Linked DNA regions of Arabidopsis thaliana. The protein of the gene in region 2 interacts with the protein of the main gene of each other region in a pairwise test. Each region holds a gene or a part of one and is shown on either strand. Other genes may lie near its edges. The genes, in order: ENA and ADT4.

What was found.
Region 1: the proteins of ADT4 (region 2) and ENA interact in a two-hybrid assay, tested with the Arabidopsis thaliana proteins (one large-scale study listed by BioGRID).

What each region holds. Positions count from the first base shown.
Region 1 is NC_003074.8:6,037,482-6,041,187, reverse strand, and holds ENA (DnaJ/Hsp40 cysteine-rich domain superfamily protein), read right to left. Parts: upstream 1,781-3,706; 5' UTR 1,549-1,780; coding exon 1,414-1,548; intron 1,337-1,413; coding exon 1,240-1,336; intron 1,121-1,239; coding exon 1,066-1,120; coding exon of another isoform or gene 1,056-1,065; exon of another isoform or gene 985-1,055; coding exon 864-984; 3' UTR 555-863; downstream 1-554. Other genes in the region: AT3G17670 (tetratricopeptide repeat (TPR)-containing protein), read right to left, coding at 1-331; AGD15 (ARF-GAP domain 15), read right to left, coding at 2,136-2,327, 2,477-2,678, 2,774-2,864, 2,953-3,007, 3,090-3,180, 3,271-3,329, 3,421-3,471.
Region 2 is NC_003074.8:16,269,272-16,273,980, reverse strand, and holds ADT4 (arogenate dehydratase 4), read right to left. Parts: upstream 2,471-4,709; 5' UTR 2,223-2,470; coding exon 948-2,222; 3' UTR 568-947; downstream 1-567. UniProt on the Arabidopsis thaliana protein: Converts the prephenate produced from the shikimate-chorismate pathway into phenylalanine.

The DNA.
Region 1 (3,706 bases), about 10 Mb from region 2:
AAGCCGTGAGAGCGTCTGTGACGGCGGAGGATGAAGAAGCTTCACGACCGTCACCACATAGGCTGAACAAAATTTCAGCAGCTCGAGAAGGCGTGGCGCAGTGACGTAGGATGAGACCTTGAGGGAGAGCCACGAGGTTTGGACCGGAGCCGCATCGGCCGAGGCAAGCGCAGTGAGTGACTCGGAGTTCGGGAGGTGCGAGAGCTGTTAAAGTCTCGAGAATCTGGAAGGAGCCTTGTCTTCGGCAGGTGCGATTCGTACAAACGCGAATCTCCTTCACTTGTTCACCTGAGCTCCGGCAGCTCATCGCCGGCAAAGCGACGGAAGACATAACGATAAGAATATCGAACCACAAGAAGAAGAAAGATGCGCGCCTGACTAAATAAACCGAGATAATCAAATTAAAATGTATTAAATCCGGTTTGACTAAACCGGATATCACAATTGTACACTCTAATCAGCTCCCATTTTGCTTCGTTTCACACTCAAAGCCGAAGATAAAACATCACTAGACTAATTCTTAATCAAATTAGACAGCTCATAACTAAAATTTTGACTCAGAACCTTCCCATTATACTAAAGAATCCAAATATACCATTAGTAAGTACAAAGCCAAGATACAACAATTTTGCAATGTAAGCTTAAGAATATAAAACTAACGGTGGCTACGTTTCATTTATCTTCCTAAAGAACTTGTAGACTGGTGATTTCTCTTTACTTGCAACAACATCCTTGAAGATTACAAACAATATTAACAAGTCAGGAGCAACCATATACAACATTACTAAACAAGTCTTAAGCCTCCTCATTGGACATATACAAAAACTGGCAAGGACATGATCGTTAAGAGTTTCTCCAAATCATTATTGTGGATCGGCATCATCGTTTTGGTTTAAGAAGCGGAAACCCATGATGTATCTGTACTCTCCGGTGCCAAGACAGCGAGAACAGTCACTTAATCCACTCCCTCCACAACTCTTGCACCTGTGACCAAAACAACCAAAAAAAATTTTGAACTCCTTTAGTTCTTGAATCAAATAACAGATATAAAAGCCTCAAGAATACCATTTAGGCCATTCTCCTCTTGGAAGCATTTCCACATCCACACAATTAGTCCTCCCTTCAATCATATATCACAAAAAAGCAAGAATTCAATTCTCTGAAGTAGTTAATACGAAGAAATCAATCATAAGAGACATTTAAAGTTGAGAACCAGAGAGAGAAGTTATTTATCTTTACCTTTCCCACAACAATTGAAACAATCGACTCTTCCACTTCCATGGCAGATTACGCATCGTCCTTTCGCCTTCGACTTCATACACGTCTTAGCTCCAGACTGTTAACCATTGAATTCATTCTTATTAATGATATCAAGAGTCTAGAGATAGAAATTGGGGGTTTTTGGTTTCAGACCTGAGTTCTGACTATCCATGAAGGTTTGGTGAGATAGAGCCTAGTTTTTCCCTGCGTAGATTTTGAATTCGGAACGCCTTCCCCTGGCCGGACAGCCATCATCTCCGGCGGAGATAGACACGCGTTCACCGCCATCTCCGTCACTCTTCAGTCGTAACTCGTAACACACCACAACTGTTCTGTTCCTCTTCCTCATTCCAGTTTGTGTTCTCTCTCGGGCCTAAGGCCCATCTCTCAATAAACCCGTAAGAAAATTAACCAAACCGGACCGAGTTAGTGTGTTTAGGTCTGATTTAATTTTATTCGTTTCCTATGTAAAGTGTAAACCAAATAAAACACAAACTCAAAAGTGATTATTGAAATCATTACGGTTGTTATGGAGTATGGTGGACCAATCAATTGATGTTACTTGTCCAGCAATTAAAAATAATCACATTGGTGACTTGTATTTGCTTTCTCTTTTGTCAAATACTCAAAGATGTCTCTCTTCCATTGAATTAAAAATGATTTTGTTACAAGCAACCAAAATTGGATTATGAATGAATAAAGAATTAGAAAACAGAACCAACTTTGAGTTCATCATCCCATCTTTGCCAACCTTTTGACTAAAATTAAAGCCCACATGATGATTCTTGTTTTTCCAAAACCTCCATCTTCTTCGTCTTCATAGAGTCTTTTCTCTTCCTGTTTCACATTAGAGATTTAGAATCAAAACCTCAAAACTAACAGAAGATAAAAAAAAGAAAAGCCTGAATCATGGCCTTACAGTCGAAAGTAGCCCAGCTCGACGGTGGTGCTATGGTGGTTCTTCTATTCTGGTTTACTTCACTGGAGAAATTCTCATTCTTTTGATTTGGTTTCTTGAATTCTGGTAGAGGTACAACATATACATTCTCCTTCATATCTACCGAACCCTGCATTGCACAACAGTTTATGGAAATGATTCAAAATCCTTCTACAAAAGCTTTGTTAATTCTTGCCACAGGACAAACAAGGAAACTGAATGAATTTCCAATCTAGTGATCATACCAGAACCCAAAAAGATATAGATTTGTTGTCATACCGCACGAGTTCTCGTTTCTGGAGGTGTTACTTGAAGAACATGATGAAGAAGGATCTCTTCGTCAAGTGAAAGAGTTCTAGCTTTCTTTGGAGTTTCAGGTTTATATCCACTCTCTACCAAGTGACTAACTTTGCAGCTTAGCTGGCTAACTATAGGAGCCGGTTGAATCGCTCCCGGTGAAACCCATCTCTTCTCACTGTATCTAAAACACACACGAACAGAAGAAAAAAAGATTCAAGCTAAAGTTGTGTTGTAGCAGATGAGGAAGCAAAAGCGAACATAGAAAAGAATCAATACTTGGCTCTTATAAACGTGTCGCTTGAACTTCTCTCGAAATGTTGAGGCAATTCTGATTCCCAATACTCATTTCCCTTAGCATTACCGGTAGCTAGACCGAGAATAAGATGATCAAGCTATGGGATTGATACAAAATTCAACTACTGAATGTGTTCATTATATACAAAAGAGGAGCTTACATTTCATGAAAGCAACCTGATCTGGAAGCCATGTATCCAGAGTTATAGACCTTACCTGTGTCCAAAATTCATCAGTATCCCTAATTTGTATGATCCATTTACAACACAATCAATTAAAAGAGAGATTATTTAGGGACCTGAGAGATGTGGACGCCAAGGCTACGATGGATTCCAGAACATTGCATACAAATGAATATCCCAAGGTTCACACTTGCCCATCTTGGTGCCCTGTAAAATAGATAGATCCAAACAACACAATGCTCCTAAATCGTTTTTCTTACATGATCATGAAAGAGATAATGTTATCAAGATGCTTACTTTGATCTACAATCTGCACATTCTCGATTGTCTGGATGCTTCAAAAGTGCTTCCAATATCTATAACCCACACAAAATCTCTAACCTTTCAACTTTCCAGACGCAAAACCAATGGTGAAAAATCGAAAAGGAGGAGAAAAAAAGATGGGACCTTTGAATGCTTGGCGTTGAGCTCCTTGGAAACAGAGGCCTTCCTGTTCATTCTGATGAAGATGAATCAGAGAATGAGAGAGAAACAGAGGCAATTGAAAAATCAAACCAAGTTTGTAAACAGAGAGCCAAAATGGTTTCAAGGAAGAACGGATTTGAAGGAGAGGAGAGAAAAGAAATGACGGTTTCTCGTACCCTTTTATATCTGTCACTGCGACACATCATCTCTCTATTTTTAATCCAACATGGAGTCAAAGCAAAGCAATAAATTCAAATCCCTAGCTCTC
Region 2 (4,709 bases):
ATCGGCGCTGTTTATAGCTTCCGATTTACATGTGAATTATTACTAGATTCAACATGTAAGTTTCTTGGAAATTATATTGCTAATTTCTTGCGACTCACCTAGAAACCAAACGTTGAACCCTTGAGTTGAGTTCACACGTGACCGGTGACCATAACTTTTTTTTTTTGTATCTACTCGTGAAAACTTCAAGGAAATCTTCACAAAATATTTTAATGATGTTGGAAATTATATCACCAACTACAATAATGGAGACTTGTTTTGTGAATATTATATAAACTTCGAACAAAATCTTTGTATTGTATATTAAATATGATAAGTTGATTTTTATTCACATTCATTTTCATTGGTTTACTTTTTTTTATCATGTAAGCGATTGTTTAATGGTATACATATGTTGTGGTTGAGCTTAGTGAACTTGAGATGAAGTCCTAACAGAAAGTTTTAGTAACAACATTATGCTGATAATTACATAAAAGAATTTGGTCTTAAGCTTTTGATATTGAAGAAAATATTAGGATCATCTCTACTAAAAATATGATTTAATAGAAATTTGTAGTAAAAATACTAATAACGTTGTTAAGATAAACAAAGTTACAAAACTGATCACATTTTTCTAAAAAATATGTGTAAATATATGTCTTTGTTTTTGGTAATGCCAATCATTTTTGCTTTTCTTGGTTAAAATCGAGTGAATTTACCAAAGAAAACCAAGGAACTCAAAAAGATTCTGCGAATAAACCACAATGTTCATAACTATTAAGTAAGAATGTAAGATATATCTGGTAGCTAGTAACAGACAAATAAAATTTTGTTTTCTCCTAATCACCACGTGAATAATGAGCTCTACATTTACGGTTTAATTTCAATGTATACTACAATTTTCACAAAAAAAGAAAGAACAGAATAATTTAATAAATTTATTGGTGAGTTTGTTTTTGGCGATGGGGTCATGCTTCTTCTGTGGATGTCATGGACCATGGTGTCATATCCATGGGGTAACTTCCCAGCACCCTTAGGAACGACGTGTACTCTTGAACCTCCGCAAGCGCGTTCTGTGCACGCGGCTCAGCCATCGATGCCTCAAAATCCACGTAAAACATGTACTCGAAGTTCTTCGACGTCCCAAAGCTCCCGTCACCAACAACCCTAAGCGGGCGGTTATGGTGAGGCCGGGACTCGATCTTGGTCAGGCTAATGTCTCTGAAAGCGAAAGCCGAGAGGACTTTAAAGAGGACGCTAGTTCCTTTGTGCTCTTGGGCAGCAAAGACGATGCTAGTCTTGAATGGCCGGTCCGTGCGTGGGATTATAGGCTCACGCGCCAACATTAGGAAACGAGTGACGTTCCCCGGGTCGTCTTGAATCCCATCCGCTAATATCTGGAGGTTGTAAAGCTCAGCGGCGCGTGCGCTCGCCACAGCCGCCGTGTCATGTAGGTCGTTAGCTGAGATATACTCCGCAGCAGCCGCTGTGTCATGGAAAGCCTCACGCGCTGCATGTGGTGTAAGGACGTCGAGGGAGTGTTCCGTCTGCGCTAGGGCTTGCGGGTGAGAGATCACCCGCGAAACACAGTCAGTTCGGACTCCCGGGAGTGCGAGGAGGCAATGGTGGACCGGAATCTGAACTTCTCCAACGATGTGAAGACGGTGACGGAGAAGAAGATCATAGTTTCGATGGATCGAACCACCGAGTGAGTTCTCCACCGGAAGCACAGCTCGATCAGCGATCCAAAGCTCCACCGCCTGAAAAGCAACGTCAAACTGGTCACAAGGAATGGCGTCGCAATTGGGATAAGCTTTTCCGGCAGCTGCTTCCGAGTAAGCTCCGGGAACGCCTTGGTAAGCTACACGTAGACTAGAACCATGCAACGGTGCCGGAGATAGATCAGTAATAGTCAACGGCTGAGCAGGAGCTAACTTTCCGTTAGTTGACTCAACGGCGACGAGACCAAGATTCACAGAGCCGTTCGTGTGACCATTAACGGCGGCGATTTTGTCCGCTAAACCACCGGTATTTTCAACAGAAGCAACTTTACTAGATAAAATGGCACATGAGCTTTGCCAATCAGATCGACTCACGGAGACACCGTTAGGGAAGCTAAACGACTCCGACCTATAACCGCACGTAACAGCCACGCGCTTTGGAATCGCGTGGGAGAAACATTTGTTCCTAGACGTCGGATCTGTTGATCGGAACTTGAGATCACACGACGTTGCGGCTTGCATGGTTTGGTAATGATGGTAAGACAAACAAAATTTGAGAATAAAAGCTGTATTATAGATTTATAGTGTTGGAAAGCTTGAGTTCTTTCGTTGAGAGAGAAGCTCAAGCTGAGAGATAAAGGAGAAGAGAGATGGTCTTATATACACACTAACACACAAGAATAAATTTTGTTTTGTTTTTGACAAAATTAGTCTTGACGTATGTAATTCGGTAAAATCCTTCACCTACCACCTTCCATGTAATTTCTATACTTTTTTTTCTTTCTGAAAACTATAATAATAGTTGTCTTTATTGAAATATATGATATTGTTGGTTTACGTGAAAGCGATATTCTTCATTTCTTCTTAGTTCTTACCATGGTTTTGTATTGTTGGTGTTACGTCCATAGATTTTTCTACAAATATCAAGATCATTGGTGTTTCTTTTGAGCAGTGGATGGTAAAATTTCTCTTAAAAAGTATTGAATATTCTATTATTATATATACATATGTATATATATATATATAGTTTTTTAATTGTTTGTTTTTCAATTAAAACTTAGTTACCTACTTCAAGAAAAATTAGATAGTTTATCCGCACTATGTGTGGGATAAATATATTATAGTAAATTTTTTATTATTTGAAATCTGAAATTTGCCTGTGTATTATTTAATGTAATATTTTTTTTTTGAACCATCTAGTTTTTGCATTAAAATTATTATTGCCCGTATATTGATTGTTATTAAATATGTATAAATATATTAGTTATTATTTTTATAATTTTCTTATTAAATTAAATTAAAATTATATTTTTAGAATCTTCTGAATATTTATAATTTACTTAAGTGTAATTGATATTATTTTTGGAAAAAACTTTATTTATAAATGTATTGGTAATATCTGATTAGAAAAATGAAAGTAGTACTATATTAATATTTTTGTTAACATATGATTTATGTTTCTATATAAAAACGAAAGTAGTTCTATATTAAGTTCTGAAATATTACTTGCTTAATTATTAGATTATTTTAATTGGAATTTCTTTTTTTAATTATTTACTACTTTTAATTGGATTTACTTTTTATTGTTTCTGTTATTGAGATATTTATATGTACTACTAATGATAAATTTTATAAATGATCTAGTAAATGAGGGACAATGAAGTAAATTGATTGAGAATTGCTCTGACACATCAGCTGGCATTTCTGTAAATACGACTGTAACTAAATTTTGTTTTTTAAGTGTGATTCTCTATTAATAATTTAATATATAGAGGATAAATGAATTCAGAAATTAATAAAAATTTTGATTACGAAAATATATAGTAGGCCCAAAGTTCACTTTCTCATATGTGGAATTTTATATGTCCACGAATAACACGGTTCAGCTCACCTTCTTTTACTTTGACACAATCGCCAAGCTGTGAGAGCATGCGCAGACCATAATGGACACATATATAGTAAATGGTTTTGTATTTATTATGATTTATGAAGTTGTTGGTCATTTTCATTTTTGACGATGTCTATTATTTGTTCGCTTTGGTGAAAATATTTGGTAATTAATTAACAAAGTGAATACTGTTTTACGAAACTCGGAAGGTGATCTATGATCTGTCATTTCGGGAGCATATATTTATATACATGATTTGTATTTGACTGATAACATATTTCAGGATCTTGGATATTGAATCCGTTTCTACTACAAAAAACCGCAAAATTGTGTGTTTTATGCCAAAATCCCTAAATTTGTGATTTTTTTACTTAAACTGTTTTCCAGTAAAAGTCGCAAACTATGTCATCCCGTAAAAAGTAACAAAATCTTGTTTCCGTAAAAAAAAAGTGTAACATTGAATTTTCCGACAGAATCATTATCTTATATTCTTTTCTGAATAATTGCTGAAAATGACCTTTTCACATTATCCTTTTTTAATTATACTCTTTCCTATTTGTCATTTTCATTTCTACCCTCTTTAAATTTTTTAATGACCATTTTACCCCTATTTGGAAATTGTTTTAGGTAAACAAAATGAAATATTAATATTTTTCGCTTAAAATATTCCAAAATAAATTTCTCGCCAAAAAATTTTGAAAAAAAAATTTCTCGCCAATTTTTTTTTTGGCGGGAAATAGCTTCACAAGGGATTTTAAAAGTGTTTTAAAAGATTTATACGGGATTTTAAAAGGGATTTTAAAGGGCTTTAAAAGATTTACAAAGCTTCACAAGGGATTTTTAAATTGTTTGAAAAGTGTTTTAAAATATTTACAAGTAATTTTAAAAGGGTTTTAAAAGATTTACAAGGAATTTTAAAAGGGTTTTAAAAGATTTACAAGGGATTTTAAAAGGGTTTTAAAATATTTACAAGGGATTTTAAAGGGCTTAAAAATGATTTAAAAGATTTACAAGGGATTTTAAAAGGGTTTTAAAGATTTACAAGAGATTTTAAAAGGGTTTAAAAGGGTTTTAAAAGATGTACAAGGGTTTTTTAAACTCTTGTAAAGTTTTTTAAAACC